4 linked regions of the Neurospora crassa OR74A genome follow. The protein of the gene in region 1 interacts with the protein of each later gene in a pairwise test. Links are inferred from orthologs where the notes say so. Each region holds a gene or a part of one and is shown in the gene's direction. Other genes may lie near its edges. The genes, in order: NCU09004, NCU01524, NCU08663 and NCU08158.

Region 1 (7,767 bases):
CGCCTCGACATATGGCGTATGAGCCCAGTTCGAAGCTGTAAGCTTCTGATTTACACCCAGACCACCTCGCTGCAGGAACACATTTTCTGGTGTCTTGTTACCTGCGAGTACTACACCTTAGTACTAACTTTCATCCTTCTCTTGTACCCTAGTCCGACAGTCGACCTCTAAGGTCGCCCTGGGATTCGGAATCTCGCCAAAATAACGCCCAACCCGATGCCCTTCCGCCGAGATCTCCCACGGCGATATCCCGAGAACGATTTGAGGCTCTAGAAAGATTCCACGACCGCATCAGTCGCAACCTAGCTCTCGAACAGGCTGCCTCCAGGGTGCTCGCTCGGTCCAGGATGTCCTCCGGCTCTGACCGGTCTCTTCGCCGGCGATTCAACCAGGATTCTCAACCCTCTAGCAGCTTTTTGCCGCCTGCCATTCCAAGTTCAACTTCTTCGACCCCTACCCCACCCTTACTTCCGTCCCTTCGTTCGCTTGGCTCAAGGGTGCGACCCGGCGTGTCGGCGCCCGGAGGCCAGAACGGCCGCCCTTCCCGTTATTCGCCCTTTGACCGGGCAATGGAGAGGCACCGAACTCATATGAACCCTGCCAGGGAGCGCAGCTACGTGACGCTCGGCGAGCTTCAAGACTCGTCCAGCTCTTCACAGCCTTCGCTCTTCGGTAGGAACACTCCTCCTGAGGATATGGAAGAACTAGAAAACTTTCGGCGCGCAAAGCGACGGAAACTGGATTCCGACAAGGTATCGCCAAGCTACAAAAATATTCTGTACGGAAAATACGGCCAGGTGGAACCCGGTCCGCTTCTTTTGGAGATTGTTAGCTGTGATGGTGGCTTGTTCAGGGATGGACGGGCCTATGTGGCGGAAAACATCCTGAAAGACGACGCTTCGGTTTATTGCACAAGGACTAATCGCTGCAACATCATACTACGACATCACGGTGGTACTGTCTTCAGCTTGAAAGAGTTGGTCATCAAAGCACCTGGTTCACATTACTCTCAGCCGTATGTGTTGTCTTGTTTCGGATATCTTTCGATTGCCTTGCTGACCGGTCTCTAGGGTCCGAGAGGGCATGGTGTTTGTTTCGATGGAACATGATGACCTGTTGAAATGTACAGCGCAATATCAAATTCAGTATGAGCAACCAGCGAATCCACGACCACGGACATCACGCGACACTCCAACAATCTACTCGGTCCGACACGACGACGATGGACGGATCTACCCCTCGAGATATCGACGCGATTACATATCAGATCTGATCAACACTATAGATGATGATGATGACGATGATGAAGATCAAGCAGCAGCCGCGCTACCTCCCGAGTTTTCGGCTGCATCCCAGCCTTTCAATGTCACGACCGAATGCAGTGATGACGAAAGCGAAGGAGACGAAAATCATTTGCGGCGTAGGCGAACCCCCAACAGGATTGGTGCTTTGCCTTTTGAAAGCGACAGTAGTGATGACGGAAGAGACCCATGGAACCCCAGCGGTTTGGACTGGACTGATCTCACTCGTGCGCGACACTCTGCTAGTTGGCGTAACGAATACGACACGGGAACCCCCGAACTTGAACGAGCGCGAGAAGCCTCGCAGGTGGCCACGCAGGAGGCGGTACGAGCCGTTGGCGGAGCGCTTATGTCTCCGCTGGCCCAATTCTACATTGAGAAGGACAAGAACAAGTGTACCATCAAGTTCGACCCGCCGGTGAGCGCGCGGTACATCCTGCTCAAGATGTGGAGTCCACATCCTGACCCTCTTAAAAATATTGATATCCAGGGGGTTATAGCGAAAGGCTTTGCTGGTCCGCAGCTATTTCCAGCCCAAACACTGCAATGAGACTGAGTCAAAGAAGGTGATCAGTTCTTGCAAGGCATGCATCATCCGGCAAAACGGGGTTGGCAAAATAAATGTTCGCGTCGTCTTAAATAGACTACTGGTCTCACGAGACTAGTGCTTGACGGTCAGCCGGGGGCAGGGGAGTTTGGAGTTTTGGTATAAATGCATCTTGTTTAAAGGCGATGATACTTGGATGATGGCTTTCAACGGTCATGGGAATTGGTATCAGCGGGTTATATGGAGGTACCTCACGGCATTATGGCAAAGTGCGCTTTCTCGTCAACTGAACCAGATGTTCCCCCAGCCATACGTTCCCTCTGCTAAGCTCATAACCCAAAATGACAACCGGGCTCCCTTAGCCACACTTTGGTTGTTCTCATTGTTGTCCTGTCGCTACATGGGCTGACGAGGAGAGGTTGTGAATCCGTGGGTTAGGGTTCATCATGAGCCGAGCGGACGAGTTCAACAAAAAAAGATAAGCCAAAATGAATTGTCCGGTATGTCGGCTTCTGGCATCTATGTCTATACCACCAGGATCCTGTGATCTTCTACACAGTACACTGCAACAGCAACTTCATTACATTTTGCAGAAGTTGAACTGTTGAAACAAGCCCCAGTCTATTCTACTACGCCCCGCAAGTGAGCCTCTTTGGGTACCTTGCATATCGCAACAATGATGAATCATAATGAAAATGGCGGTAGTGTACACTACCAAATGGGAAAGCCACTGCAAATCTGATTGGGCAAACAAGCTTTAGGAGGCGGTAATGGGGTCGGGTAGACGTAGAGGATAGCTTCCATGTCGCTGTAACATAGTGGGCTGTGTGGCAAGCCTTTTGCCATCCCGAGGGTGGCTAGGCACTGCTCGCGTAGCCTTACGAGGATTGCTCCAAAGTGTCTGAGTCACCGGTGATTGAAAATGAAATTGTATCGATGCAAGTGCACTAGAATTTCGACAAACTCATACTTCTCGATGGCAAAAATGGAAGGGTTTGAGTAGAGAGGTTGGGTTGGTAAGCCGCATGTATGCGTCCATGTCTTGTTGTTGAAGGCAAGTACTGGTACATACATCTGTAAGGGTCTTGGTACCCGCTTCCAAAAGCTGTGTGGTTCTTCCTCAGTCCAGATTCCAGATTTGATAGCGCCCCACTTTACACATAGCCTGGAGTCTGAATCCAGATTATATTTTCCTTCCATCGCCCACCCCACCAGTCGTCATTCGCGAAGCAGCAAAACGGCATTCTATACCTCCAATCTCCATTGCTTCAGTCGCATAAACTCAATCTCTCCGTCTCTATCGGAATACCACTTCACCCACCAAGTAAAGGAAGCCCACTAGGAGCACTACACAAGAAGAACCGAAGCCATGGCTGTCCGCGCCCAGTTCGAGAACTCCAACGAGTAAGTTTTGCTTGGCCTCCACGTTCCGAGATGGGGAATCGCGATGCGAAAATCGAAGATCTGCCCCGCCTGCCACCGACGACGACATCAATACCATGCTTCGACACCGCGACAGCAAGGCGACTCTTGAATCTGAATGGGGGGCGGAGGGTAGTTCTTCGGGATATCAAGTAGCAGACGCGCTAACATTGTCTGCTTTCTCAATAGGGTTGGAGTCTTTTCCACACTTACAAACTCTTACGCTTTGGTCGCCGTCGGTGCCAGCGAAAACTTTTACAGCGTCTTCGAGGCCGAACTCCAAGATGTTATCCCTATCTGCAGAACCACCATTGCCGGCACAAGAATCATCGGTCGCTTGACAGCTGGGTAGGCGCTTCTTCCCTCTGCATTTTTGATTGAACTTTTAGTCCCAAGTATCGGAGGGGGCGCAACCGAGAACCTGATTATGGGACATTGGTAAGCTAACCACGAGTAAAAAAAAAAATTACAGTAACCGCAAAGGTCTCCTCGTCCCCACTACCACAAGCGACCAGGAACTGCAACATCTGCGCAACAGTCTCCCCGACGACGTGCGCATACAACGTATCGAGGAGCGCCTGTCGGCCCTGGGCAACGTGATTGTGTGCAACGACCACACGGCGCTGATCCACCCGGATCTGGAGCGCGAGACCGAAGAGATCATTGCCGACGTGCTCGGCGTCGAGGTGTTCCGCCAGACCATTGCCGACAACGTGCTCGTCGGTAGCTACATGGCGCTCAGCAACCAGGGCGGCCTCGTTCACCCCAAGACATCCATCCAGGACCAGGACGAGCTCAGCTCCCTGCTCCAGGTACCGCTGGTGGCCGGCTCCGTCAACAGAGGTTCCAACGTCATCGGCGGTGGCATGGTGGTCAACGACTGGATGGCCGTCACTGGTCTTGATACTACGGCGCCCGAGCTGAGTGTTATCGAGAGCGTGTTCAGGTTAGGAGAGGGTGCCGCGCCTGGCCAGATCAACTCCAGCCTCAAGGATACCATGGTCGAGTCTTTCTACTAAATCCAATGGTTTTTCTTTTGTGGGCTTGTTTTGGAGTTGGTGTTATCTGTGCTTGGTAGGCAAGGAGAAAGGAAGGCAATGTGTGAGGCAGGAGGGAGCGGAGGCGAGAGATGGATGTGTAGGAGGCGGGATTCTTGTCAGGTATACCAACGACAATGGGTCGTTTCTGACATGCATGCTCAAGCGTGAGCAAACAAGGCGATTTTTCTTCCAATGAATGGTTCCTATGACTGGCGTTTTTGCGTGAGGATATGGATATGTGTGAAGATGACCGTGGTTGTGGCTCGGCCTGGATTGCGAGATTGCTTCGAGTTTTGGAAATGCCATCTGGAATGAAAAAAAGCTTCCAGTTGACATGGCCATGGCCGTTCAGAATAATCACGAAGTATAGATACTCTTCGAGGTTCAGTTAACATGTGACATATAAGTCCAGAACGCGGGACCAATGTCTTTGGGATTTGGGGCAAGGCACGGTTTTCTGCCAAGGGTTAGGGTTGTACTGGTAGTTCTTGGTTCACCTGTCATCCAGTGAAGAAGACCAACTGAAACTCCAAGCTCGTCCCCTATGCTCTATGACGGGATCATCACCTCCTTTTACGAATGCAAATCCAGACGCCAAGCGAGATGCCTCTTGAGACAATTCCCCATCATCAATGTTTACAAAAAAACCATCATGCAAAAACACAGTACGGCATGTACCACACCCGATGCTGCCTCGAGTGCCAGGGTTGGTTGCGATCGCGGCGGTTGCCAGCAAGCAGCGGTGATGCAGTGTTTCATCATGCACGATGATGTGGTTGTCCGTTCCAGGGACTCGTGGGACCCAGCATTCGTCAACACTTTGTTGACCTGACATGTCCATATGCATAGAATGGGGGGCTATAGAATGCGTATAATACCTACCACGAGTCCAAGTCCACACACAACGACATGGTAATCCACGGCGGCTACGTATAATGTCTCACTCGAGAATCCTGCTTCTTCTTCTGGAAACGGCTTGGTATGTGATGGGTGGAAATAATTTAAACCACGCAGCTTTATTCCGCGATGCCCTGACCGTTGAGAGACATGCAGCTTGTGGCAAAAGATGCGTGGACTAAACTACTAGACTTAGTCATGAGTGGAAATATCGTTCGGGAATATTGGTTTCTTTTGAAACGTCAATCTGGGGGGTTTTTGGTCAATTTCCAGGAACGTGAAATTCGACGAAATTGCACAGACCCACGAACCCGTCTGATAGTCAATCGGCAGGTCCGATCTCGATTCTCCGCAACGAGCAGCTTATAGGCTTAGGGCTAATTAGTTTTCAGCGTTGTTGTAGATGTGTATGAAGCGTGTGAGAAAATCCTTCATGAAAAAACAAAAACTGTAGATTGAAGTCGACCCAGATCTCAAAAGATGCACAAGTGCTGCAACTTCAATTGCACAAAAACACTGCCAAGTGCGTGCCACGCAGCCGCAGTCCGCAATGCCGGGCCGGGGCAGGTGCGGGCCAATCGGTGGAATCCTTGTCGGTTTCTGCAGACGTCAGGTTGCCAAGGCTTCGAAAAAGAAGGTTGGGAATCTCTAGCTTCTTCACGACCCCGGAAAACGGAAAAGAAAACAGGAACGGAAGTGGAAGCCTGTCCCGGCTTAGCGAACCCCTGGAAGTTCAATTGAAAGGTGGACGCCCGTGGCTCTGTCTCCTATCCCGCGATCCCTGTTGAGGACGGTGGTGTGCCCCCCAAGTACCTACTCTGGTGGTGGACTGCCTGGTGGTGGTGGGTGGGTGTGGTGGACTGCCCGTGGTGGTGCCGCCGCCGCGTGCGCGCAATCAGGCAAAGTGGAAAGGGGAGAACGGGACCTCGCTTCGGTCCAAACTTCTCCAGACCGTTGGACCGTTTTTTAGTTTTTTAGTTTTTTAGTTTTTTTTTTCATTTGGGTCTAACCCCTTGATATTTTCCCGTGGTTTTGGTTCTTGGATGGCTTTAGTTATCGTCAATTCTTTTCCTCTATCACCGTCACGGTTCGAACTTCCATTTCACCCAACCCGCCTGTTCGGACGATAGAATCTCGTGCGCCTACATCGGCCTACACCTCTCCCGAGCCAATATATCGGTCAAGACTTTGGACCCCTGAAATAAGCGCATGAGCCACGGCACGCCAGCGGCATATACTACTCTTCCGCCCCGTCCACCTCCGCACCTCTTCGAAGCCCGCCCGACTCGAGTTCATCTTTGACCCAAGGCACTCCCCATCTTGGATACCAAAACACGATTTTAGGATTCCCGCCGCCAATTGCCACCCTATCCACCTCAGCTACGCACCGTGGAAGCTGTGGAAGCTTGTTGCATTCCATTGTCTTGCTTTGGCGTTGAAACTGGTCTCAGCCCCAGACATCACCCCCATATTGTGCACATTGGCCAGCCGAAGCAGTCAATACTCTCTCTCTCTCTGTATTCCTAGAATAACACGGTGGTAGAGGAGCCGGACATTCGGTCGCCTGGACTTGAAGAAACACTCCGGCCCCGCCAAACAGGACATAAGCCGACCGGCCAGACCAACAACGGCTAGATTCGCCTACCAGGGACTACCAGGGGACACACAGGAGAACGGACACGGGACCTCCAGGGATACTGTGGCAGCATTCCAAACTTTTACTACATACATCATGCCCCTTAGACCCAATCCTGCTCTGCCCCCCTCGCAGCCAGCAAGAGACTTACCGCCTCCCCAACGCCCCATTGAACGTCCAACACCTCCTCCCAAAGCCCTAGCCCTGCGAGGATCGCTGGATAAGATCAGATCCGTCAGTTCAGAGCACAACGCCGTCCCCCCCAGAGTCCCAGAAAAGCCGCGCATAGTGCCCGCTCCACCGCCTCGCCCATCCTCGACCATCATCCTCCCAGCCCCCTCCACCTTGGCCCCCTTGCAAGAGTACCACAGCGGGTTTTCTGAGCAAGACGCTGAGTCGGGCTCGGGTCTAAACAAACATCGCCGCGGGTCATCGTTCCCGAACCTGATCGCCCTCACCTTTGGCACCGAAAACCAGCCCGCCTCCTCCTCCTCGGAGCAAACCGACAGTTCCCAAGGAGCGTTTGCCGACTGGCTGAACAGCTCGGGCGCGGCAGCAGCAGAAGCATTGGGAATGGCTCCCACCTTAACAGCCCGCAGCAGCAAAGCGAGCAAGGCGGCGGACAATCAGTCCCTGACCGGCTCCGTTCGCGACGGTGACACCTCCTTGGACAAGACGCCCACAAGGTCGCGTAGACGCGGGACCAACGCCAGCCAGTTTAGCAACCGCAGCAGCATGCATGAACCATCCACGCCCAAGGGTAACGTCACCTCCCGGCTCATATCGGCCATCTCGTCCAAGTTCACGCCGGGCCCGGCGGCGTCCTCTGGCCCTGCCGTTGACGACGACGAGATCTTGAACCTTGACATCGAGGCCGCCCTGTTCCCTCCCAATGGGGCTGCGCCCAACAGCGACATCTCCCCG
Region 2 (7,837 bases), on another chromosome or scaffold:
CGAACCCTTTTCGGCCATTCCATTTACCTAGCTGTGGTCTTGGCTAAGGTAGGAAGACGGGAGAAGACAGCTGGTATTGAAGTAACAAGTCGATACCTAGTAAAAGGGCATAAGTGGAGGTCCCAAGGGGGGGCTGGCAGCCCATTGAATGTCATAGACAGGAGGTACTGGGAAGAGCGCATACGAGGAAGTGGAAATGGGAAAGAGAGGGCAGTAACACAAAGGATTAGCCAGGAACGGGTTTATGGGTCTTGTTTGAACACAACAAGTTAATGTATTCCGAGTCCAGAGCATCGTCAACGCAATGCCGGCGCATGCGTGTAATTCTCAATAACTCCTGTCGATGTCTTCCATGTCTCGTGTCTTCCTCGGGGCGCGTCATCTTGACTGTTTGTCGCGAGGAAACCTCAAGTAAAGGAGACCTAGGTCCCTCTAGAGGTAGATAGTAGAGGAAGGTAAACACCTCAAAAGGTACTTCCATGGTAGGTAGCCTGAATGGGGCTTGGTACCTCAAAGAGCTTCCAGTGCCCGTGACACCCAACCACCACCTTACTGGCCCAAACAAAACGGTCATCTCCATTGTCCTGGGATACTAGTAGGTAGACAAAGCCGTCCGCGATCCCTGACTTGTTGGCCCACCGCTGTCCGCACCAGGCCATTGGACTTAGTCCACCGTTAACGCTACTGTCGCAGCTCTTTGACCCTCCAATATTACGCCGTCTAGCCCGCGTCCATTGACAGCCCGGTCTCTTCACCCGCCCATGGAGGGGGCCGTGGCTCACTGCAAATGTGACTTCAGGCGCATTCCATTCATTCGTTCGTTCCCTTCAGGGGCACTGCAGCACCCTCTGGCTGGCTGCACTTGGTTACCTTAGCTAAAAACTCGGACCCACTCGAGGGGAGCCGCACCGCCCTCCTTGGCCCTGCCTCTCCTGGACACCACCACTGAGCGAACCCGAACTCACATACATCGCATTGCCCTTGACTTTGTCTGCATACAGTACAACTATCAACGCGACAACCACTTGCCAGACATTGCCTCAGCCCATCGCCAGCTCGCCGAATTCCAGCATACCCTCTGCCTCCAGCACCTCTGTCATCACACACCGCAACCATGGCCAACGACGAGTACGATGTAAGCCCGCCTCCTCTTTCTTGCCGTCCGCCTGCCTATCATCCATCTTGCGTCGATTCGATATCCTTGTTAGGACGTGCCCCCTTTATTCCGCCCGCTTGCGCTGACCAGCCTTTAACTGTCACAGTTTCTCTTCAAAGGTACCGCAAGCATACCCCTCCCCAGAAGCTCTGAAGCAGTCGCGACGATGCGATGACGGCGACGACGACGATGGCAGCGGCAAATCAGTTACTGACTGCAGATCCCGCTACCAGTGGTCCTCATCGGAGACTCGGGCGTCGGAAAGTCCAACCTTCTCAGTCGATTCACCCGTAACGAGTTCAACCTCGACTCCAAGTCCACCATCGGCGTCGAGTTTGCTACCAGATCCATTCAGGTCGACTCCAAGACAATCAAGGCACAGATTTGGGATACTGCTGGCCAGGAACGTTATCGCGCCATCACCTCTGCCTACTACCGCGGTGCTGTCGGCGCCCTCCTCGTCTACGATATCAGCAAGGGCGTGACGTTTGAGAACGTGAACCGATGGCTGAAGGAACTGCGCGACCATGCCGACCAGAACATTGTCATCATGCTCGTGGGTAACAAGAGCGATTTGCGGCATCTGAGAGCCGTACCCACGGAGGACGCCAAGAAGTTTGCCGGTACGTTGCGCGTCACAGCCATGATGACATGGTCGCTTGGGAAAGCCGTATCGCCAGGATGACTGACAGAGAGAACTGCAGAGGAAAACCACCTATCCTTTATCGAGACTTCGGCTCTCGACGCCACAAACGTCGAGCTTGCGTTCCAAAACATTTTGACTGGTAACGTTTGCCCAAAGCCTACAGCTGCTGCTCTGGCGCGAGCCTACCGCTAACATGCGATCATTTATCTAGAAATCTACAAGATCGTGTCGACCAAGAACTTCGACAACGGCCCCAGCGGGTCCAACGAGGGCCACCAAAACCTGTCTGGCCAGAGCATCTCGCTCAGTCAGACCGCGAACGACCCCCAGGCGAAGTCTGGCTGCTGTTAGGAGGTGCTTGATTCTCCGGGCCGGGAACCGAGTGGCCCTGAAGGGTTGAGGTGCAGGGTGCAGCAGAGTACAACAGGGTGCCGAACCAACAACGGCGTCACATATGTCTGACATGAAGCAATGGAGGCTTATGATGAGCAATGAAGAGCAGCATCGGGGGAAAAGTACGGACGGATCCTGCCCAGTCTTATTACATCACGGTCGCCGATGGGATGGTCTGTTTTTCTTTTTCTCTCTATTTTTTTGGGCTTTTGGGGAGGGGGGAAAGGATCATGATGCTCGTCTTCCAGCCTTTCCTTTTTGTTGTTATTACTACTACTACCCCTTTCTTCCCTTTTCCCCCCGTGCTGGTCGTTGGAATTTTCCTCAATGTGGTTAACGAAGCCATCACTTGCGCATGGATTACGAAAGATATTATTTAGTTGAAATGAACTATGGGCGATAAACAGCCCTTAACTCAACCTGGTACATATTGCTCCACGTTGTCAAGGTCTCCATCTATTGCATCCACAATGTGGGAGAAGAGGAGTACCTCGAGAGTGAGTACCTATGTAGCGATAATCGTGCAGGATCTCGTTATGACATTCAAGTTGATTATGTGCGACAGCGGGAAACAGTCAATACAAATTAAGACATCTGGGCTTGCCTGATGGATTATGGCGACTGTCCCTCATTACTCCCATCGCGTCACCCGAGGCGGTTGAAGTGGGTTTGAGTGCGGACAAGAGGCCAGTCCCGTCCCATCCCCCACTGTAGGGCAGACAAGAAGAACGCGTGGAACTTGGACAGTGTGTGTAGGCAATGGAATCCCCAGAACTTGGGGGTCCGGATTCCAGGTTGGGTCCATCAGTGGGACAAATGCGGGTTGCCCAGACCGCCGACCGCCTTTCAGCTGTTCCAAGCAGGGGGGCCGGAACAGGGACGCTAGTAAGATAAGAGAAGCTTATCGGAGTGGGGCTGCGATTGGCCGGCGAACTTTTTTTGAGATGGAACAGCCTGCACTCCATCACTGCGCTTCGCCCGCGACGTTCGTGGATTGGAGCATTGAATTCACCTTTGCAATCCGCATTCCGTTTTTCTGCCATCACTTCCACCACAACCACCACCAACTTCAGTCACCCTTGTTTTTCGCCCGATTTTGATACCCAAAGAACGACAAGAACAAAAAGAAAATGGCCGCCGTTTACAAGTCGCTCTCGAAGAGCGCCAAGAAGGTCGAGGACACGGAGAACGACAACAACACCACCACCACCAATGGCGGCTTTCGGAAGAACAAGCAGAGAGTTCTGATTCTCTCGTCCAGAGGCGTTACCTACAGGTACATATAGACCCTGCATACCTGCAAGATGGAAGAAGAAAGGGTCAATTGCTAACCGCCTTTGCGCCCCGAGTACAGACACAGACATCTCCTCAACGATCTCGCAGCGATGCTCCCCCACGGCCGCAAAGACGTCAAGTTCGATTCCAAGTCCAAGCTGTACCAACTGAACGAGCTTGCCGAGCTCTACAACTGCAACAACGTCATGTTCTTCGAGGCGCGCAAGGGCAAGGATCTGTACATGTGGTTTAGCAAGGTTCCTAACGGCCCTACGGTCAAGTTCCACGCCCAAAACTGTGAGCACTATCCATATCCGAGATACGCATTGTGAAAGAGGAAAAATCGGGTTCTAACAAAAAGCACAGTGCACACCATGGAAGAGCTTCACTTCACGGGTAACTGCCTCAAGGGCTCGAGGCCACTCCTCTCCTTCGACCTCGCCTTCGAGCAAGAGCCGCACTACCGCGTCATCAAGGAGGTGTTTCTGCAAATGTTTGGCGTCCCCCAGGGCGCGCGCAAGTCAAAACCGTTTATCGACCACGTCATGAGCTTCAGCATTGCCGACGGCAAGATCTGGGTACGCAACTACGAGATCCGAGAAGTGGAGAAGGCCAAGGGCGAGAAGGACAGCGAAGGAAACGACATTGTCCCCGAGAGCGACAAGTCATCATCGAAAAAGAGAAAGGGCGCGCCCAACGCGGAGCTCAAGGACACAGACGTCAGTCTGGTTGAGATCGGACCTCGGTTCGTCCTAACGCCCATCATCATACAGGAGGGCGCGTTCGGCGGCCCCATTATTTACGAGAACAAGCGCTTTATCTCCCCCAACCAGGTGCGCTCGGAGCTGCGCAAGGCCAAGGCGACCAGGCACAACACCAGGGTGGAGCAGGTCAAGGAGAGGCTCGGCAAGCTCGAGACCCTCACGGCCCAGGCGAAGAAGGAGAAGGATGTCTTGGATACCCGGGAGCTCTTTGCTTAGAGAAAGGAGGAGGAGGGGAAAGAGAGAGAGAGAGCTTTTCACAACACGATTTCATCACGTCTGTTCGCTTGCGACACATCAAAGCAACGCACGCCTTAGGTTTAGGGGTAATCAAGGAGTTTTTTGTACTTTTGCTGGCTGGCTGGTTTGGTCTGGTTCGGGAAAAAGAAAGGAAATCGATTTGCATTGTACAACATTACAGTATTCGTGGGGATGTGTGAGACGGACGAGCTGTCCTCTTTTGACAGTTGGGAAAGAGGATCATGATCGAGTGGTAGATGAGCACTCAGCGTATAAGGTGCTGGCTCGAAAACGGACACATCAGATCAAGATTGAGTGATGAACGCCGTCCTGGCTCCGGTCTTGGTCGTGTTGAAAGGAGATGGTCAAAGAAGGGTAGGAGAGCAAGTACTTTGCTCGGCACCTCACTAGCGGTTGACTGTCTATAACCACACTCCTGAGGGAGATGTTGTTCGCATAGGACCTAGACTCTACCTTAAATGCAGTTGCGCTGTGAGATATTGTCTCACATTTTTGCTCCATGATTTGGGTTGTTTCCATATATATAAGAGACACGAGGTGTCTCTTTCGTTGAGTTGTTGGGATGATATCACCACCTTCAGTACACTCCTCAAGGAGAAGAAGAAGAAAAAGTACCATGTTTTGTCCCAAGGTAGCTTTGGGCGACATCGTCCCAAATTTCAGATTTTCTGACGGACTAGCCATCTTCTCAGGGGCTTTGGGTCGTCTAAGTCATGTAGTGTGCCTGGGAGTTGGCGCGAGTTTGGTGCTTCTTGAAAACAAGAGATAAGGACTGGAGCCGATACCTAGGACGTCGCTCCTTAAAGCGAAAGACAAATGGCTTGAGTCTAATGTTGAACACGTATGGCTAACGCTTTTGATCAAAATTTAGAAGCAAAAAAAACGACTCGGAGTACTTTGGTCATGACTCAGGTTCACTCATCGATATCGGAGGAGAGAGTTGAGGATAGGTTGTAGAGGGTTCACTTCACTCATTGTGAAAGTTCGCTACAGGGGACCTGTTCCCTCCAGAACACCAGTGGGGGAAAGAGCGGGAGGCTCCGGCCTATGGTACTTACCTCTAGGCCCCCTTGCGTGCCTGCCTAGCGTATCTTGGGCACCTAACTAGGTGGCATGTAGTGCCTGGCCCCGAGATTGCCAGTGCCAATTCCCGCCCCATTTCAGCGCTGCTTCTAGTTCTCAATTCCAGTCCCTTCTAAACTTCAACACCACAATCACACCTCCAACCAAACAACAAACTGAACACCTCCCGATCCGTCCCCCCCAAACGCCTCAGCAAAGCACTTGAACGGGCACTTTCTACATCCCACTATCCTTCGGCATTGTTCCGCCTTTCTCTTTCGGCACACTTTTGCGCATACCTCGCTTGGATTTGATTACATACACGGTCTTTCTTGTTGTTTTATCTTTGGCTTCCTTCGTTTTCCAAAAGGCATGCACCGGCGATTATTCCATAAGCTAGGTAGGTAAGCCACTCTCACCCATCGTTCCATCCCCAATCTCGGCCGCCGGTTTGGTGTTGCTCCTTCCTTCCTTTCTCTCCACCTTGATTGCGGCAGCGCGCCCTCAGGCCACGCGGAATCTGCTTGGAGAAGGCGTCATTGGAAAGCTCAAGATATCCTCATATCATTCATGTCATTCATGTCTTGGGGTTCTGCTTCAAGGGTTTGGAAAGCTTCGCGGCGCAAGTGTGTCCGGCCCAGGTCTGACATAACCGCTTCACTCCTGAGACGCTCGGTGGTCGACACAATCATCCATATATACACTCCCGCAGCCCACCTGACACATAACTCTTCCTCCCTTGGATTATGTTTCATGAAAAAGACCCCGGATAACGTGCTCCCGACGGCAGAAGTCATAAGCGATGACTGTTGGATATCTACTGCTTCGCATATCCTTACCCTCTCTCTCTTGACAATAGTCTCTTGCAGTCTCAACTTCCACAGCCACTCTGACTTTCAGCCTGGCTTTGGGTGCGGCTGCTTGCCATCTGCGCTTGTGGAAGCTCCGATGTCTACCGTTCAGCGGTTTAAGGGTTTCCCTGCCCAAGGACAGCCAAGATCCCCCTTGCCCTGCTCATTGTTTGTTATTTCTACCGCAGCACCCATGCCTCTACCTCTCAAGCAGCAACTGCTCTTTTGCTTTGTTGTCAGATCCCAAAAGACATCCTAACATGCCTTCGATTCGTTTGTCTAGTCATTCACGTTGCGTCCTACTAATACGGTCACGTAGGTTTCAAGAGTTGACACCGGCATTATTACTTTTATCCTTCACATAGTCGTCCATCTGGACGGACCATTTCAAGATGGTCGACAACGACAATGATATCGTGATGGACGGCCAAGACACTCATCCTGCCACAATTGACGTGTCGGCAACAAGTAATGGCATCACCAAAACAGAACCGAATGGTCATGATCAGTCCGCGCCAGCCAACGACGAGAAGGAGGAAAAACTGGACGACGAGAAAGATCCCTTCATCTATCCGGCTCGCCTAAAGCGAAGAGGTCTCCTTCCGACAGGATGCTGTTACGACGATCGTATGAAACTTCACGCAAATGCCGACTTTGGTCCAAATCCCCACCATCCCGAAGACCCGTCTCGTATCGAGCATATCATGAGGATATTCAAGAAGGAAGGCCTTGTGTTCACTGGCGACGATGAGGATCTCAAGAAGGTCATCCGCACCGACCCGAGGAGGTACATGTGGCGCATTCCGGCCCGACACGCAACCAAGGAGGAGATCTGCATCGTCCACCACCCTGAGCATTTCCGATGGGTGGAAGATCTGTCACGGAAACCGACATCGGAGCTCCGGCGCCTCTCGACCATTATGGATCAAGGGAGAGACTCCCTGTACGTCGGCAGTATGACATTCGAGGCAGCACTGATCTCAGCTGGAGGTGCTATTGAGACCTGCAAGAGTGTTGTTGTCGGTAATGTCAAGAATGCTTTCGCTGTGATCCGTCCGCCAGGCCATCATGCCGAGTTCGACGCCCCGATGGGCTTCTGTCTCTTCAACAACGTCCCAATAGCAGCCAAGATCTGCCAGACCGAATACCCCGAGATTTGCCGCAAGATACTTATTTTGGACTGGGACGTTCACCATGGCAATGGCATCCAGAACATGTTCTACGACGACCCGAATATCCTGTATATCTCGCTACACGTCTATATGAACGGCTCGTTCTACCCTGGAAAACCGGATAACCCGATGACGCCAGATGGCAGTATTGAGAACTGTGGAGCAGGGCCAGGCTTGGGAAAGAACGTCAACATTGGCTGGCATGACCAAGGAATGGGTGACGGCGAGTACATGGCAGCTTTCCAAAAGATTGTCATGCC
Region 3 (8,074 bases), on another chromosome or scaffold:
ATATTTAATTTAAAAGGGTAAAAGTTGAATAATGGTTGTAAAATTTAATAAATTGTTATTAGATTTAATATATCTCCCCCTTCGACGAAAGGAAGAAACGTAAGGAATAATAAAGTTGGTTTGAAACTAAATTATAGATACTACTTATTACGCGAAGATGTGCTTTATAAGTAGTAATAATAGAGAATAATAATGTAAGTAATTAGTTGCTAGATAGAGTAATAGTGTATAATAATTAACGATAATCTTGTTAAAGGAAATTAAAGATAAGAGCTATCGCGAACCTCAACCTAGAACCTTGTATACGATTTTACTGAGTGTGAGTAAGATAGATGTAAGATTGGTATAATATAAATTAATAATCCGTTAACCTTAATAGAGGTTGACGGGACGAACACTCTTATATGATAGACTATACGCTCCAGTAAGCGGCTGCTATGACAAGACAGAGCATCTAGGTATCTACTAAGAATGCCCCATAACATGCCGGGTACTTGGAATTCCTGGTAACGAATATTTTCTGATTATTCCATTTCACCGCATTTTTACCCGGTTATGAACGGTTTACTACTGACGTCGTATTCGAACGGAATTACGACTGAGTGAATCCAGTGCAGTCAGTGGCCAGCTGTTTTGTTTGGCAGTGACTTCATCGAATGAGGTCCGTACTGGGAGGGGGGGGGTCTTTCGATCTGTACTTAGGCACCTCGGGAACCCCCAATGTTAAACTGGTTACGACTGCCAATTTACTATCAATTAACAATCCCGCCCAGCGAAACGTCCGGATATCCAAACATTTTAAGAATTTGGACTATCAGGTGTCTGTCAAGTTATAGTCAATTAATTACCGAACATTTTGCAAAAAAAACGTTGGGACATTCAAATACTTAAACCGCGCGAGGGATCTAAGTACAAGTCACCAAATTCCTAACTGTCCAAAGACAATTCGCGAAGAGTTTGTAACACCCCCCTCTCCCAGTACTGGTACCAGATAACTTCACTTCGGATTCCGATACCAACAGACGTAGTGTAGAGGTCCACTTTTGCCAAGACCTGCAATGCCTAGAGGTAGCTGCCGTGCCCAAGCTCCTGCGTAAATGCCCGCTGCCCGCCCCTGACAGCTTCCGTCCGCGCGCGGCTTCTTATCTCGCATGTCCCATTATCTCATCCGCAAAACGCCTTCCTTCTACAGACCTCCTTCCAGCTTTCACTCCGAGCTACTGAAAAGATACTACCATTCCGATACCGGCAACCTTGTAGCACTTTAAACAAACCTGCCTTGAAAATGAGTTCCAAAACTCCTGATGACAAGCTTGAGCAGAAGAAGGTCAAGGATCCTCAAGCAGAGGAAGAAAATGATGAATCCAAGCAGGCCGATATCAAATTCTCACCTGAAGAAGAGGCTGCAAGTACCCACGACCAAAAGCAACAACAACAAAGACCCTCTTGATGCCCAAACCTCTGTGACTGACCGCCTCAGCAGGAATTGGTAGCTGAGTCCAACACACACAAAGCAGAGGCAAACGCCCTCTTCACCTCGGGCAAATACGATGCCGCCCTCAACAAATATGACGAAGCCATTGCTGTTTGTCCAAACTACCTGGACTACCCCTTGGCCGTCTTGCGCTCCAACGTGGCCGCCTGTCACCTCATGCTGGAAGCTTGGAAGGATGCCATCACGCACGCAACCAAAGCTCTGGACTTGCTTGACAAGCTAGAGCGGGAGGACAAGCTGGCTGCCGAGAAGGAAGAGAAGGAGAAGGAAGATGTCGAAGAGGAGATTGTCAGCGCTGGTGCAGCAAAGGCCGGACCCGCCGTTCCTGTCACGGAAACTGAAGCGCAGATTGCCCGCCAAAAGCGACTAGAGGATATTGCCAGGATACGGGCCAAAGCTCTGCTACGCCGGGCCCGGGCAAGGAGCGAGCTGGGTGGATGGTCCACCCTCGAGGGGGCTATCGAGGATTACAAGAAGCTATCTGCCATGACCAACCTTACGGCTACCGACCGAAAGCTCGTCCAGGCGCAACTCAGAGCACTGCCGCCCCGGGCCAAGGCTGCTCAGGAGAAGGAGACTGCTGAAATGTGGGGCAAGTTGAAGGACCTTGGGAATGGGTTGCTTAAGCCGTTTGGTCTTAGCACTGACCATTTCAAGATGGTGAAGGATGAGAAGACCGGTGGTTACAGCATGAATTTCCAGGGAGGTGGTGGCGAAGGCAAAAAGTAATGTTGTGAAAGTTAATGAGGGTCAGGGCTCTTGCGATGCCTACCAGCGTCGTGGTTGAGGATGAATGGCTTCTTGATAGTCCAGTCACCCAGCCATATGCACCTCTGACTGGGAAAGCTGATTTTCCAGTCACCTGAAAATATTATCGACCAGTAGTCAACACGAATCGACAGTTCAATGTCAACAGATCGACAAGGGGGGGAGATGATCAGGAGCTCGTACCCGACAGCTGCAATACAGCTGGCCGGAGCTAAAGCTCCATAAGTTTTGAGGCTGATTTATTGGTGTGGCAAAGCCGGCAGTAGAACGCCACAATTGTACGTACTGCTGCACTGGCTTGTGCTAATACCTCTAAGTACCCACGGTAGCCGATAGCCGATAACGAATTGCTTATCAATGCAGCGCGGGGCGATTTGGTGCTGGGCCCATCAAGAAATTTATTGACGACCGTCCCGTCAGCGCCTCCAACGTTCCCCCCCAGCGACTCGTTCTCGTCCTGGTCCATTCAAATTTCCAGTCGTCAACTTCTTTCTCATCCGCAGCAACTTCACTTGTGATTGCGACGGAACTCCCAGGTTTTCCTTTTCACGACATAGCGACTTTTGTTTGTTTTTACAATTGATACCCCGATTCATATCTTGTCGCAAACCACAACTTCATTAATCATGGATCTCGACGCTCCTATGGCCATGGCCCCGTTGATGGGCTCTGCCAGGACAGGTGCTACGTGAGTTTTGACCATGAAGACTGAAGGTTATCGAAGGCATGATTGCTGACACCACCAATAGCATTCTCTGCTGCAACTGCGGCGCTCCCATCGATGGCACATCCTCCGCCGGCGCTCTTTGCTACGACTGCATCAAGTCCACCGTCGATATCTCCCAGGGCATCCAGCGCGAGGCCACCCTCCACTTCTGCAAAGATTGCGACAGATGGCTCCTACCCCCCGCCAGCTGGGTCACAGCCGCCCCCGAATCGAGAGAGTTGTTGTCGCTATGCTTGAAGAAACTGAGGAATTTGGGCAAGGTCCGCATCACAGACGCCAGGTTCATTTGGACAGAACCCCATTCGCGAAGAGTCAAGGTTCAGGTTACGGTTCAGGATCAGGTGGCGGATGGTGTGTTGATGCAGCAAAGCTTCGAGGTCACTTACGTCGTCGCCAGCCAGCAGTGCAAGGACTGCGCCAAGTCATACACAGCCAACGTCTGGCGCGCCGCCGTACAGGTCCGCCAAAAGGTCACCCACAAGAGGACGTTCCTTTTCCTCGAACAGCTCATTCTCAGGCACCAGGCCCATCGCGACACAATCAACATCAAGGAAGAGAAGGACGGTATCGATTTCTACTTTGCCCAGAAGAACCAGGCCGAGGGATTCATCAGCTTCCTGAAGTCCGTCGTACCAGTTCTCACCAAGGAGTCGAGGCATCTTATTTCCGCGGATACACACACCGGCAACAAGTCGTACAAGTACAACTACTCCGTCGAAATCGTGCCTGTTTGCAGAGACGATTTGGTTGCCCTTCCTCTCAAACTCGCCAAGTCCATTGGCAACATTTCTCCCCTTGTCCTTTGCCACAGGATAGGAACATCTGTCAACCTTCTCGACCCCAACACCCTCCAGACCGCCGAAGTCAGCGCCGATATCTACTGGCGTGCTCCCTTCCATCCGCTTGCCGGCACTCCCGATCTTGTTGAGTTTATCGTTATGGACATCGAGTCCACAGGCGTACGAAAAGGAAAGTGGCTTCTCTCCGAGGTCCAGGTCGCTCGTGCCTCCGATCTCGGCGTGAACGACAACGTCTACTTCACTCGCACACATCTCGGCCAGCATCTCCACGCCGGTGACTCGGTGCTGGGTTACATGCTCGAGGGTACCAACTTCAACTCGGACGCGCTCGAGGCGATTGAGAGCTCCAAGGCGTACGGTTCCATGATCCCTGACGTTGTTCTCGTCAAGAAGCACTACCCGAACCGCCGCCGCAACAGAAAGAGAAACTGGAAGCTCAAGCGCATGGCCAAGGACGAGGGCGAGCTGCTGCCCAAGGCTTCGGACCAGGCCAAGATGGATGCCGAGTACGAGATGTTCTTGCGCGATGTCGAGGAGGACGAGGAGCTTCGTGCTGCTCTTGCTCTGTACAAGAACTCGCTCAAGACCAAGAGGGAGGCGGATGCCATGAGCATTGCCGATACCGACATGATGACGGAGGCTGAGGAGGATGGCCCCAAGATCAGCATGGACGAGCTCCTCGATGACTTTGAGGAAATGGAGATTCAGGATAAGGAGTAGGATGTGATCTTGATTGGAGTCTGATATGTGGATGTGAATGGCTTTGGGATTCGGGGTAAATCAAAATTCTGGGAGTTAGCTGTTCTTCAGGGTTTGCGTTTTTAAGGCATTTCATGAATAGATTCGGGAATGGGCTTGCCGTGTTGGCGCCCTCTGCATCCAACATTCTGTTGTCTTTATAGTTGTGAATGCATAGACGTGGTTGAAAGGATGCTACGACCGTCAAAGTACTAAATCAACGAAGATGTGCAACTTGTCATGTACGATGATCTTGGTCAGTCAAGGCCTAGTGTTACACATCTGCTCAAAATGTTTTCCATCCGTCTGTTTTATCTTGTCGCCTTCGGTCATCATCAATTATGAAAACAGGTTTATTTCGAGTCCGGACAAAGGTTCCAAAGCATACAACCCCAGAAAAAGGAAAACATATCACAAAATGCGCGGGGTTTCACAACGATGCAGAGGGGGCCAAGGAACAACTTTGAAACGAAGAGAAAAGATGGAAAAAATAAAACGAAAAAAAGAGAACCAGAAGGTTGATCGTTATCGCTCGGATACCGGGAGTCGAACCCGGGGCTGTTGAGAAAACAGACACTTGTAAACAAGTGAGAGTCAACGATGTTACCGCTACACCATACCCGATGAAGGATGGCTTCCGATTGTTTTATGCTTTTGTCACCAGAGGATGTGTTCTTGAACCGGAAAAGCACGAATTGTTCATGAATTGTGTGGTGGAGTTGAGGGTTGGGTGTGACATGGGTCAGGGGTTCAGTAGTAGGTGGGCTAAAGGCAAAAAGGGAAAAGGGGGTTTGTTTACTTCGTGATAGGTTGGGTTTCTTGGCTCGAGGGTCCCATTTTTCAGAGACTAGGTCTTTTCTTTTTTTTCTTTTCTTGGTGTTTAGGTTATCTCAAAATCCATCGTTCTCATCCCCGGGCCGTCTTCAAGTCAGAGTTTGGCTTGGCGGGTGTTGGTCAGGAAGGTGCGAAGCCCGCACGGAAACTTCTTCCCCTTTCCCTTTTGCTCCTTCCTTTCCTGCAAGTTACTTTCTACCTGCCGGGAAGAGGAGCAGCTCTGGGCAAATACTTCCCAGGAATTTTGGCTCGCTGTGAGAATCGATAAGCAAGTCGCAAAAAGCCGGCAGAAGCGAGTGGTTCAAACTGGTCACGGTTTCAACCTACCGTCGGTACATACCTAGTACTGAGCTTTGCTCGCCGCGCAGGACTCAACTCTGCAGCACTTCTGCTAAGTATCTTTGTCCCAAACCAGGATTTTTCGATGCAACCAGCCTTCAAATGCCACGGGCGAGTTGTTCGCAATTATCATCCTGGACCCCCCGAACCACTTCTTTTCCGACAACTTCAATTCCGAACATCCCCGGCATTGTTCCTTCTGGCCTACAATCAGGCGAAGACCTAAACCCCTACTGGTACTTTGAGATGTGATCATGAGAATCGTCAGATCCATGGGTCCGAAAAAAACCTTCGAGCCATGTTAAACGACGGCATGAAACGCGCAAAAAAGAAAACCGGCATGCTGAGATGTTTGTTCATCTACAATGACCATTATCAGCATCGGCCCTCGCCCAAGGCTGCCGGGCAATAACAGGGGTCGGACAGACAAGAACAAACAGGTCTTTTTTTTCAGTCAACCATAAACATTGATTAGTTTCCGTTCTTGAACGAACGAAACAGCGATCGAAATGACAAAACCTCTTCAACTACTAAATATTTACGGAAACGAACAAATGCTATGAACAGCCAGTAGCAGGCAACATGACCCGATTACCGTCCGTGTGGCGCATTGTTCTATTTTCTCCTTCGCTCCCGTCCCGTGCGACTGTTCGATCCTGATGCTTTGTTTTTTGAAAAATTCTAGACATTGGAGAGAGGTATACATTTCTTTGTTCCAAGATTGCTTGAAGGACACTTGATGCCTCACAGTGAGAGAGCCACGCCCTTCTTTGTCTTTATATGTCCATGATAAGCGCATTTGTCCCCTCGTGATTGTTGCTAGCCGGCCGGATAGACGGGATGCAAGAAGTGATCTTGATATCTGGCGGTGATTGATCGGGGAAATGGGCAAAACATATACTCTCCCGGGGACACCTGGACAGATTTGAGTCGGTTGCTGGATCCCTCGTCATTCACTCTTTTCCAACAATTATTCCAATAGCCAGTCGACAGATGTGGCTTAGAAGAAGCCTTACCGGACCCATACCAAACCACTTCACTCCTTTCAAGCACGAACGACTCATCAGGAGAACAGCATTCGGGGAACTTGAAGGTTGATTATTGATGAACCTGTCATCAGACAACTTGGCAATGTGGTATTGACAGCGATGATAACGACATACCAATCGATGGACAAAGCCAGCAACCGAGGAAGTAGCATGTCTCCGTCGGAACTTTTTGAAAGAAGATACAGCACTCATCAACGGCTCATAGAACGAGAAGAAGACCACGGAGAAGACTCGGGTTCCGGAGACGAGTCAGGTAACGGCAGTGACTCTGATATGGGCGATGATGGGAGGTTTAACGATGACGATCCTTCCGCCGCTGAGGGCGAAGACGACAACGAGGAGCAAACGGTTACAGAGGAACGCACCATAACCAAAAAGTACACGGCCACGCAAACGGTGACCACAAGCCCGACGGCAAGTGGTGGCCAGAAGCTATATCACTCGCTTACCCCGAGTTTCAAGTCACATCTGGAACCAGCAACCTGGTCACGATTCGTTCGACCACATGCTGCAGGTAAGGGTTGTTTTTCCATTGCAATCGTAAACACCCCAGACCCACCCCTCGGAAATGCACCGAAGTCAGCCTCGATTTCTTCCCAAGAGCACACGACCACGAGAACGGTGACCACAAGCCCGATGGTAGATGATGGGAAGCAAGTTTGTTTAGGTTACAGCAGATGTGTCTGAAGTATAACATTGTCCCAGACTCAAGGGCAAACGACTAGGGGAAAGAAGCAACACCCGCCGGAAGCAGTGGAAACAGACTCACCTTATCACCCCGAGCGGTCATTGATAGTACAACTAGCTGACTTGATATTGCGTGAAGTCCTAGACATTAGCGGTATCGCAGCGTCCACTCCGGGACCTATCCCTACAGAATCTTCAACGTCATCCAGCTCAACGCCACCGGTAACGACAACCACTAAACCTAAAAGGAAGTCCTTCCCGTCCACGACGTTGATTTCACCTGTGTATCCGACAACATGGGACAGCCAGGACTTGGCTGGCGAAGAAACGACGGGAATCGACGCGACAATAGTACGCGGTGGCCCGTCGCCGTCGCATGGTGATGACAGCAGTGGCCATAAGCATCGCCCTCCAAGCAAAACAACAACACCAACAACTGCAGATGGGATCACGACACCAGGTGTGTTCAAAATTTCTGTTGAACCAGATCCGTTCTCCATCGGAAGCCTTTGAGTAGTTGCTAACCCCGAACTAGAAACCTTTTCAACCCGCTCCGAACTCCCGGCTACCTCGCCTACATTAGGTACACACCCGGCGGACAGTGTGAAAGCCTCTGAAGGAAAGCAGAAAAGTTCGT
Region 4 (8,298 bases), on another chromosome or scaffold:
CCAACTGAAGTGTATTTGTCGGGAAACCCAATCGCCCCGCTACATAACGCATATCCCGTTCAACACCAGCTGCATCGGCAACACCGATCCAATTCCAACAACGCCTCTTTCTTGGCCAAACACTTGTCATTGTACCGCGCGCCTGTCTGGTCCAGGGCTGAGACCTTCGATTCGCGAAACGTCACATTGGATTTATACGGCTTGTCTTTCCGCATTACAGCCGCATCTGCAGTTGCCTTGCATTCTCTTGCCTTGCCTTGGCTCGAGCTGGCTCGTATTTAACGGTGGCAACGACACGGCTACATCGCCTCGTACTCCAGCTTCCCGGTTGTGGCATCAGCAGTCCCTGTGCATAGTTGCGCGTATCCTCTGCCATTTGCCATGGCAGCACGGGCAGTACCAATGCAGACGCAGCCCCGTTATACCAGCGCCGCGAGGGATTTTGACGATGGGCCCCTTCCTTCTATATCAAGCCGCGATGGTGGCTTTCGGGAGCACTTTGCGAGTCGTCCCTTTGGCATCCCACTAAACGATAATCTCTCACCTTCGACCGCTTCGACCCCTATGGCGATCCACGGCTCAGAAGGGAACGGGATCAATGCGCCTCCTCCGCTACCTCCTCCACGACTTGCCCCTGTCGATGGTCCCGTCGATCCGAATGTACAGCACTACAGAGACTCCGACTTCATGCGCAATGACGGTCCCAACAGTCTTGAGAGCGAATCATTCAAATTTGAACGGCGAGCGCTTCCGAACAAACACGAAAACCCCCATGACGAGGGCTATCAGAGTTTTGATAGTGTCAGGTACTGCGATTCCTTTGCTTTTCCACGATCGTCGTTTGCCATTGCCTCGAAACTAACTTGTCCGTGACTCTTCCTAGATCATCGCAGTTATCGTCTTCCTTCGGCCTCCACGCCATGAAAGGGTTTCGTCCCAGTACCGCGGCGATCGACCAGACCATGTTGAACAGGTTAAACAAAAGCGGCGGACTCAGTAACTCCTTGAACGACGTACATAGCTCTCGCCCCAGCCACGCCAGTCTGCCACAGCTTTCCCTCCCACACCGGTCAAAGCCAGGGCTTTTCACATCGGGGTTTGCCTCCTCGCCCACTACGGCATCTCCGCTTCCCAGCCCGTTTTCTCAAACAGGACAACCAAGCCCAGCTATTGTCGGGTTTCGCCCTACTGACGGGTTCGACAACAGCGGTTTCAACCGTGCGCCGCCACTGAGGGCGCGCAGGACAAAGAGCACGTTGATGCTGGATGACGGCTTTCTGAATACCGAAGACGACGAGGACAATGACTTTCCAATGGAGGAGACGACACGCATGCGGACTCTGAAGATCGAAGATCCGTGGAGGGAAAGGCAGAGGGAAAACGAAAGAGAAACAGAGAGCGGGTCTTGGCAGCGAGGACACAAGAGTGGGCCATCACACTATTCGCCATCGCAGCTGTACCATGCGGGGAGAGACATGGGCGGAGACAGAAGCTACTATCAATCCGGTCAGAAGCGGCCGGCCTCGCCCACGCCAATTGATAGATGTAGTGACACGTCAGGCCTGAACAGGGGATCGCCTACCCCGAGGCTGACTGTCGTTTCACAAGGGTCTGTCTCTAGCTTGTCGGCTGCTAGTCGCAGCGGAAGTTATATTGGCAATCTGACTGCTAGCAGCATAGCAAGTAACAGTTCGCTTGGCCGTTTGTCTCCCAACGGTGTATCTCCTGGCGGGGTGTCGCCGACAGACGTGATGGGTAATGGGAGCCCGTATGCCACACCCATCAGCCTCACCGCTTCACCAAGATCGTCGATCAGCCGGACAGGTGCGGCACAGTCGCCGCATCCTAGGATTTCGGGTGACTATACGCAAAGATCGGTTGACCAGTCCAATAGGACGCTTGGGATTTCGAGGAAACTTGCCGAGATTCCGAAAAATGCTAGCAATATCGTAGCGGCTAAGCTCAAGGGCCCATACATGTGCGAATGCTGCCCGAAAAAGCCCAAGAAGTTCGACACGGAAGAGGACTTGAAGTAGGTTTTGCATCATTTCCGCGCAGCGACGCACGTTACTAACCCAGACACTTTTTCCACCAGGCTACACGAAGCAGAGAAACAGTACGGATGCTCGTTTTGCGGGAACCGGTTCAAGAACAAGAACGAGGCGGAACGCCATCAGAACTCCCTGCACGTCCGTCGTCATAGCTGGTCATGCTCAGCACTTCAGACATACGATCGTGCATTCCACGACAGTAGCACGAGGCCAGGCGAGGCTGATACGTGTGGTTATTGTGGTGAGGAATTTGCCCGTACTGGACGTAATGCTGCAGGCATCTTTGCTAGTGAGCAAGATTGGGAGGACCGTATCCGGCATCTACAGGACGTGCACAAGTTCCGCGAGTGCAATGCCAGCAAGAAGTTCTTCCGCGCAGACCACTTCCGGCAACACCTCAAACACAGTCATGCCGGTACGAGTGGGAAATGGACCAATATGCTTGAAAACGCTTGCATGATGGACGAAGGACCAGCAGTCCCTCGTTGAAGCGGGAAAGCAATATGTGGTGATTTTGGATACAACGAAGCAACTGGGCCTTGCTATTTGGAGAGGCAACGGTTGGGGGTGATGGATGGTATCATTTATGGCTGTGACATGTTGGTCAGGTCAGATATCGACATGCAGAGCGGTATGAGTTCAAAGATCATGCGGCACAAGGGGCCGTGGAGGGAAAGGACGTCATCTAATTGGAGCATTTACGGGATTGAGGATTTTTATCGGAGTTTGGGTGTGAAATTTTCAGCTGTAGGGTTGCGGCGTTGCGTGCGGGACATATCTCTGAAGGCGCAGGCAAAAGTTGACACATCGTCTTTGGTGTGGTCATGGTCAGGAGCAGCAACCGATGTACTTTTATGGGAGAGTTGATAGCGGCAGCGGCTGAATAGTAGCAGTCGGAGAGCAGACTTGTAGTAGCGAAATGTGATAATGTCAATATGAGTGATTTGGAGGAAGAATGGACTATGATACGGTCTGGAATGACTATTTTGCTACTATCAGATGGATGCTCTTTCAGGCGGCGGTTGGGTACCTCTACATTGTTGTCTGTTTGTTGTGGGCGGAATGTGAGACAACTTGCATGTCTTTTCAGCCCTACAAGGAAGCGGGCGCCGTCAGGTTACCCCACTGCCACAGCCCTACCAAAAATGTCTGTGATGGATTTTACAAAATTGGGGGGTTGGTTGGTTGCTTGATTCGTGCAGGGCAGTCGGTCGCTTTTGTTTGTCCTTTGCCCTGGGCCATCCCCTCTGTTATCCGTCGTCCTCTGACACCCAGGGTTTCTGTTTGTCACATTTTGTGTCAGCACACATGGACAATCCAAGGTACCCGCATGATGGTACTGGGGGTACAACTGCCCTGCCCATGCCCGAGCATGCAACGCCTATATCGGACGGAGATTGAATGACCAAGGTTCGCGATAGGTAAACAATCGTACGGTACTGGATGCATAAAACGGTCAGAGTATGTTTGCCCGTTCATGCCGAGTCAAGGGTACAATACCGTGTGATGGTAAGATACGGACGACAAATACATACTTTCACTTGGCAGGAACCACGTATTCAATACGCTCACTGTACGGTACGCCGTTCCATGTACTGTAGCTCTCCATGTACGTAATGGTACATGGCTCGTATCCACGGTAACCAACCCATTTCGGGAATCCCGCAGCGATGAGGGGCAACAAATAATTTCGAAATTTACAGATACGCGACAGAAGCTGGACGAGCAACCCGCCTTGCGATTGCTTCACAAACTTGACGTGCTGGATTCTTTGGTAGCGCCAAATCGAACAGAACCCCAAAGCCCTTCGAAATATCCCAAAGTGACTGCCCGGAGAGACCGGTCGCAATGGCGCTAAATCGCATCAATGGGCGCGAAGACCTCTTCGTAGGAGGGTAAGTAAGTCGCACGCGACCATCTCCGTCCGGACTCTCTGTCCATCCATCCCATCCTCCTGTCGCAATAGAGCTTGCCTTGCTTTTCTTTGGTTTTACTCGCGAGAAGGGAAATGAACTGACACAGTTGTTTTACGAGAACAGCATCTTCGGTGTCAACCGCGCCCGCTTAATCGAAGAAAACAAGATCACGCACATCCTATCTGTCATCAACTACACCCTCCCTGCCGACCCCGCGTTTCGCAATGTCCAACATCTTAGCATCGACATTGACGACGTGGAGGAGGCCGATATTTTGGTTCACTTCCCCAAGATGGTCCGCTTTATCGAGCGCGGGTTGTACGGTGACGAAGCAGCTTCGATAGCATTCGGAGGGGATAATGCGCCAGTAGTAGTACCTACACCCGCGAGCGCGAGTGCAAAGATCAACGGCGACGACGAGACAGCGCACGACGCCGATGCCATAACCGCCGCGCCACCCATCACCACCACCACCATAACATCACAACAACAACAAACAAAACCCGGCGCCGTCCTAGTCCACTGCGCCATGGGCAAATCTCGCTCCGTCTCCGCCATCGTCGCCTACCTCCTCTGGAAACACCCGCACCGCTTCGGGCGGTCCGACCCTTCTACGCCCGCGCGCCGCGCCGTCACGCAGGCCATCAACTGGGTACGACAGACCCGACCCATTGCCGAGCCCAACGACGGGTTCATGGAGCAGCTAGAGCTATGGTGGACCATGGGCTGTCCCCTCGAGTCAGGAGACGACGCGGTCGAGAACCACCCTGCCTACCAGCGGTGGCTGTACAAGCGCGAGGTGGAGGACGCGACAAGGATTGGCCGGGTGCCAGACTGGATCCGGTTCGAGGATGAGGAGGCAGCTAAGCTTGCTTCTGAGAACAACAACAAAGAGGCGGAGGCGGGTGGTGGTGCGGCGTCGCTAAGTCTAAGATGCAAAAAGTGTCGAAGAACACTGGCGACGAAGCCGTTTATTGTCCCGCACCACCAGGGGAAAGGAAACAAAGAAAGGGACTGCGGACATTACTTTGTCGAGGCCCTGTCGTGGATGCGCCCGACGCTGGAGCAGGGCGAGCTGGAGGGCAGACTAACGTGTCCGAACCAAAAGTGTCTGGCGTCCGTGGGGAGGTACACATGGCAAGGGTTTAGATGTAGCTGTGGCGACTGGATCGCGCCGGCGTTCTCGCTGCAGAAGAGCAAAGTGGATGAGGCGACGTCGGCGCCGCATCCAGGTGGTGCCGGTAGGGGGCCTGGCGGCGGCGGTGGTGGGGCAGCTGCCGTGGCGGCGAGGATGGCGGCGTTGGGGATTAGGATGCCGCCTGGTGGTCTGGCTGGACAAAGAGGAGCTGGGGAGGGCGCGGGGGCGGCAGGTGGACCTAAGGAGAACCTATGAATGGATTCTTCTTTTGTGGGTAGAAGTCCATGGCTACCTACAATCTATCTGCCTTTGGATCCTGATCATCCCATCGATCCTTGCCTCGCAAGCTGCGGTGGTATGACGCGGAATGATGCCCTAGAGGAGTTATACATTGCCTGACGGCCTCTGCGAAGAGGATGCGTACTTTTGGGTTTTCTGTACTGGCCTCGCAGGTTGTCAACCAATGTTCAGAGCATCTTCCACGTCGGGGAAAAACACCCAGGAGTATACACACCCCAGTGCGGTCCACAGCAAAGTCCCGTCGTTGAGGGGATGAAGATACCACTCCGGACATCTAAGTGGCGGATCATGAACACTGCGTTACGCCTTTGTAGAACACGAGTTCTCGGCCAGGCAAGTGACGTAAGAGGTTTAGGAAGGGCTTTCCTATGGAAGGCTTATGGTGACAGGAAGATCAGCAGGAGCATTGGATCAGATGCCACCTTGTGCTGAGTACCTAGTTTAGGCCCTTTGATGCTTCAGTTTCCCTCCGAGGATACAGTTACACCTGGGGATGAAGTAGCCCATCATCCCTTGCCTGAGATGGGAGAGAGGTGTAGATTTGAGATGTCTTATGGATTCCTGCTTAGAGACCTATATACCAGTGACGTGAAGTCCATATTTGAATATACGCTACCTCTAGGCATATCGTCTGTTTTCAGAACTTGACACTCAAGAGGAAAGATAGGAACTTTTAAAGTGCCTGCTATCAAGGTTCCCATGAACTCAGGTCGGGAGCTCCAGTAGCACCTTCTCCAGGGCAGTGGTGTAAACGCACTGTCCTCGGCGGCCGAGTGTAACCGTGCACCTCCCGGCAGAACTCGATACATTCACTGTATTTTAGTGTGAGTGACCCCTACCAATCCCTCGGCAGGCTCCGTTCCCTGGGATTTTAAGCTTTCCGGCAGATCTAAAGGGAGCCCCACCTTGACGAGTCCACTGCTGCACGCGTTTCCATCCATACCTTGGGGTTACCTCTACACCTATACTATCAACAAGCACACACTCTCTCCACAGCTTCAGTCTTCACAGTCCACAACAACATCCAGGATATCTACGCGAAGAACAAAGACAACACACAATACGTGCTATTACAATTCAACCGGCTGGCCTATTCAAAATGGCCACCGACTCCTCGTCAGATGAGTCCGACCATCAAGATCATCACCTGGACCAAGACAAACACAATTCGGACGCGAGCAACGACAGCGAGTCCGGGTCCGACTCCGGCTCTGACTTGGCGTCCAATTCGGAAGCCTCTTCGGACTCGGATGACTCCAGCGATGAGGTCTTTTCCTCAGAAGTCTTGACACGTAACAGTAGGGGTATCCAGCTTCTGGCGTCGATGCTCGACCTCGAAGCAAGTGAGTCCCACTCAAGCGAGGATGAAGACGATGACGACGACGACGACGACGATGACGACCTTGCCGAACACATCCACGAATACCCCAACTCTCGCCAAGCCAGGCGCAACCATCACCAGTCTTTCCCAAAGTTTGCCCTCTTGCCTTATGAGCTACGCCAGCGCATCTGGGAGATGTTCTGCCCCGACCTGACGGCAAAGTCACGCGTTTATGAGTTCCGTATGGTCTTCCAACTAGCTAACCTGCCCAACAATCCGCTGGAGGTTTGGGAGAGTCATATACTCGAGCAGCAAACGGCCCCCGCCCGTGTCATGTCGGCTGTTCACCGAGAAAGCCGCGAGCATGTGCTCAAGAAATTTCCCGACGTCCTCACCTTCCGCAAAGGCCGAAACACGATCCGTTGGGATTGCAAGAATGACGTCGTGATTTTAGGCGGCAAAGCCCCCCCTCCCTTTTGGCCAATACCAGGCTTTTCAGATCAAATTCGGAACCTGGCGCTCGACGTCGAGCTACGCCGCTGCCTTGATACCTATCTGTTATCGGAGCGGCCTGAATACGAACAATACTTCAAGGAATTTTGCCCTCAGTTGAGCAGGGTGTTCTGCGTCATTGACGATGCCGATTGTCCGGCAAGGCTTCTGCGCTGGTGCGCAAACAGAGAGAATCGCCATTATTTTGTGCGAACCCAAGAAGAGGAGCCAGGCGTTGGAGAGGATGCTGAGTACATGTATTGCTGGCGCAACCCCTCCAGGACACGCGAGTTCGCTGTCGACAATAGCATTCCTGGAGGTCTGGGCGATTTCGTTTCTCGATCACTGGACTACACACAGAAGGGAGGCACCGACACAGAAAATATATTTCAACCCCTCATACGCTTCTCTTATGAAACCGGCCTCCGGCGCTTTGAGAAGATCGTCAAGAAACAAAATGATAACACCGACTGGAGTTTCTCTGACAATGATTTGGATGACGAGTCAGTGAATGAGGAGCCCGATGAATATGAGAGCTCAGGGATCGATGATTCCGAAATCAGCGAGGACGGGGGCACGGGGTCGGAAAGTGGAGATGATCTTGTCGTCGTGACAGATGATAGCGACCAAGAGGAGGAGGAAGCTTCGAGCGATGAAGAAGAACAAGGGCCATTCCATGCAGCACGTTTAGCTAATTTTGACAATGGCCCCATCGAAATCCTTGACGACTCCGATGATGCGTCTCATTCTGGACACAACGCCCATCAACATCCTCACCTCGGTCCAAGCGACAGTGCTCGCTTCTCCAGCATGGAGCCGTCAGATTCCTCGACGCTGGATCATGAGTCAACTTCATCACCCCGAGCTGGACCCTCTCGCTCCAAGGGCTCCGGCAGAAAACGGGTTCTGGAATCGGATTCGGAACAGGAAGAGAATCACGATGGACCACCCAGGAAAGCAGCGCGTATCAGCAATGAGAGTCGACGCCGTGCCCGCGCCACGGTTGTGCTTTCGGATGATGAGGATGAGGATGAGGATGAGGATGAGCAGATGGGCTACGAGTCGACCACAGAGAAAAAG

Evidence for each region.
Region 2: the proteins of NCU09004 (region 1) and NCU01524 interact in binary tests that used the Saccharomyces cerevisiae proteins (3 or more experiments, as listed by UniProt). The link is inferred for Neurospora crassa OR74A from reciprocal best matches to the Saccharomyces cerevisiae genes TIF6 and BRX1.
Region 3: the proteins of NCU09004 (region 1) and NCU08663 interact in a protein complementation assay, tested with the Saccharomyces cerevisiae proteins (2 studies listed by BioGRID). The link is inferred for Neurospora crassa OR74A from reciprocal best matches to the Saccharomyces cerevisiae genes TIF6 and NMD3.
Region 4: the proteins of NCU09004 (region 1) and NCU08158 interact in binary tests that used the Saccharomyces cerevisiae proteins (3 or more experiments, as listed by UniProt). The link is inferred for Neurospora crassa OR74A from reciprocal best matches to the Saccharomyces cerevisiae genes TIF6 and YVH1.

The regions. Positions count from the first base shown.
Region 1 is NC_026503.1:4,188,250-4,196,016, reverse strand, and holds NCU09004 (eukaryotic translation initiation factor 6), read left to right. Parts: upstream 1-2,817; 5' UTR 2,818-3,217; coding exon 3,218-3,252; intron 3,253-3,459; coding exon 3,460-3,618; intron 3,619-3,742; coding exon 3,743-4,289; 3' UTR 4,290-4,776; downstream 4,777-7,767. Other genes in the region: NCU09005 (hypothetical protein), read left to right, coding at 153-1,015, 1,071-1,851; NCU09003 (hypothetical protein), read left to right, coding at 6,940-7,767. UniProt on the Saccharomyces cerevisiae protein: Binds to the 60S ribosomal subunit and prevents its association with the 40S ribosomal subunit to form the 80S initiation complex in the cytoplasm. Is also involved in ribosome biogenesis.
Region 2 is NC_026502.1:3,190,581-3,198,417, reverse strand, and holds NCU01524 (ribosome biogenesis protein BRX1), read left to right. Parts: upstream 1-3,174; 5' UTR 3,175-3,325; coding exon 3,326-3,471; intron 3,472-3,549; coding exon 3,550-3,767; intron 3,768-3,836; coding exon 3,837-4,450; 3' UTR 4,451-4,994; downstream 4,995-7,837. Other genes in the region: NCU01523 (GTP-binding protein ypt3), read left to right, coding at 1,115-1,135, 1,263-1,275, 1,390-1,779, 1,861-1,941, 2,014-2,153; hda-1 (histone deacetylase hda1), read left to right, coding at 6,798-7,837. UniProt on the Saccharomyces cerevisiae protein: Required for biogenesis of the 60S ribosomal subunit.
Region 3 is NC_026504.1:4,179,145-4,187,218, forward strand, and holds NCU08663 (60S ribosomal export protein NMD3), read left to right. Parts: upstream 1-2,622; 5' UTR 2,623-2,889; coding exon 2,890-2,951; intron 2,952-3,012; coding exon 3,013-4,510; 3' UTR 4,511-4,821; downstream 4,822-8,074. Other genes in the region: NCU08664 (tetratricopeptide repeat protein 1), read left to right, coding at 1,286-1,405, 1,484-2,224; NCU08662 (hypothetical protein), read left to right, coding at 6,871-7,264, 7,577-7,897, 7,973-8,074. UniProt on the Saccharomyces cerevisiae protein: Acts as an adapter for the XPO1/CRM1-mediated export of the 60S ribosomal subunit. Unlikely to play a significant role in nonsense-mediated mRNA decay (NMD).
Region 4 is NC_026507.1:3,570,024-3,578,321, reverse strand, and holds NCU08158 (dual specificity phosphatase), read left to right. Parts: upstream 1-3,771; 5' UTR 3,772-3,899; coding exon 3,900-3,946; intron 3,947-4,090; coding exon 4,091-5,360; 3' UTR 5,361-6,061; downstream 6,062-8,298. Other genes in the region: NCU08159 (hypothetical protein), read left to right, coding at 382-806, 884-2,032, 2,096-2,540; NCU08157 (hypothetical protein), read left to right, coding at 6,505-8,298. UniProt on the Saccharomyces cerevisiae protein: May be directly involved in signal transduction and/or cell cycle regulation. It is necessary for maintaining growth rate or spore germination. Could show both activity toward tyrosine-protein phosphate as well as with serine-protein phosphate.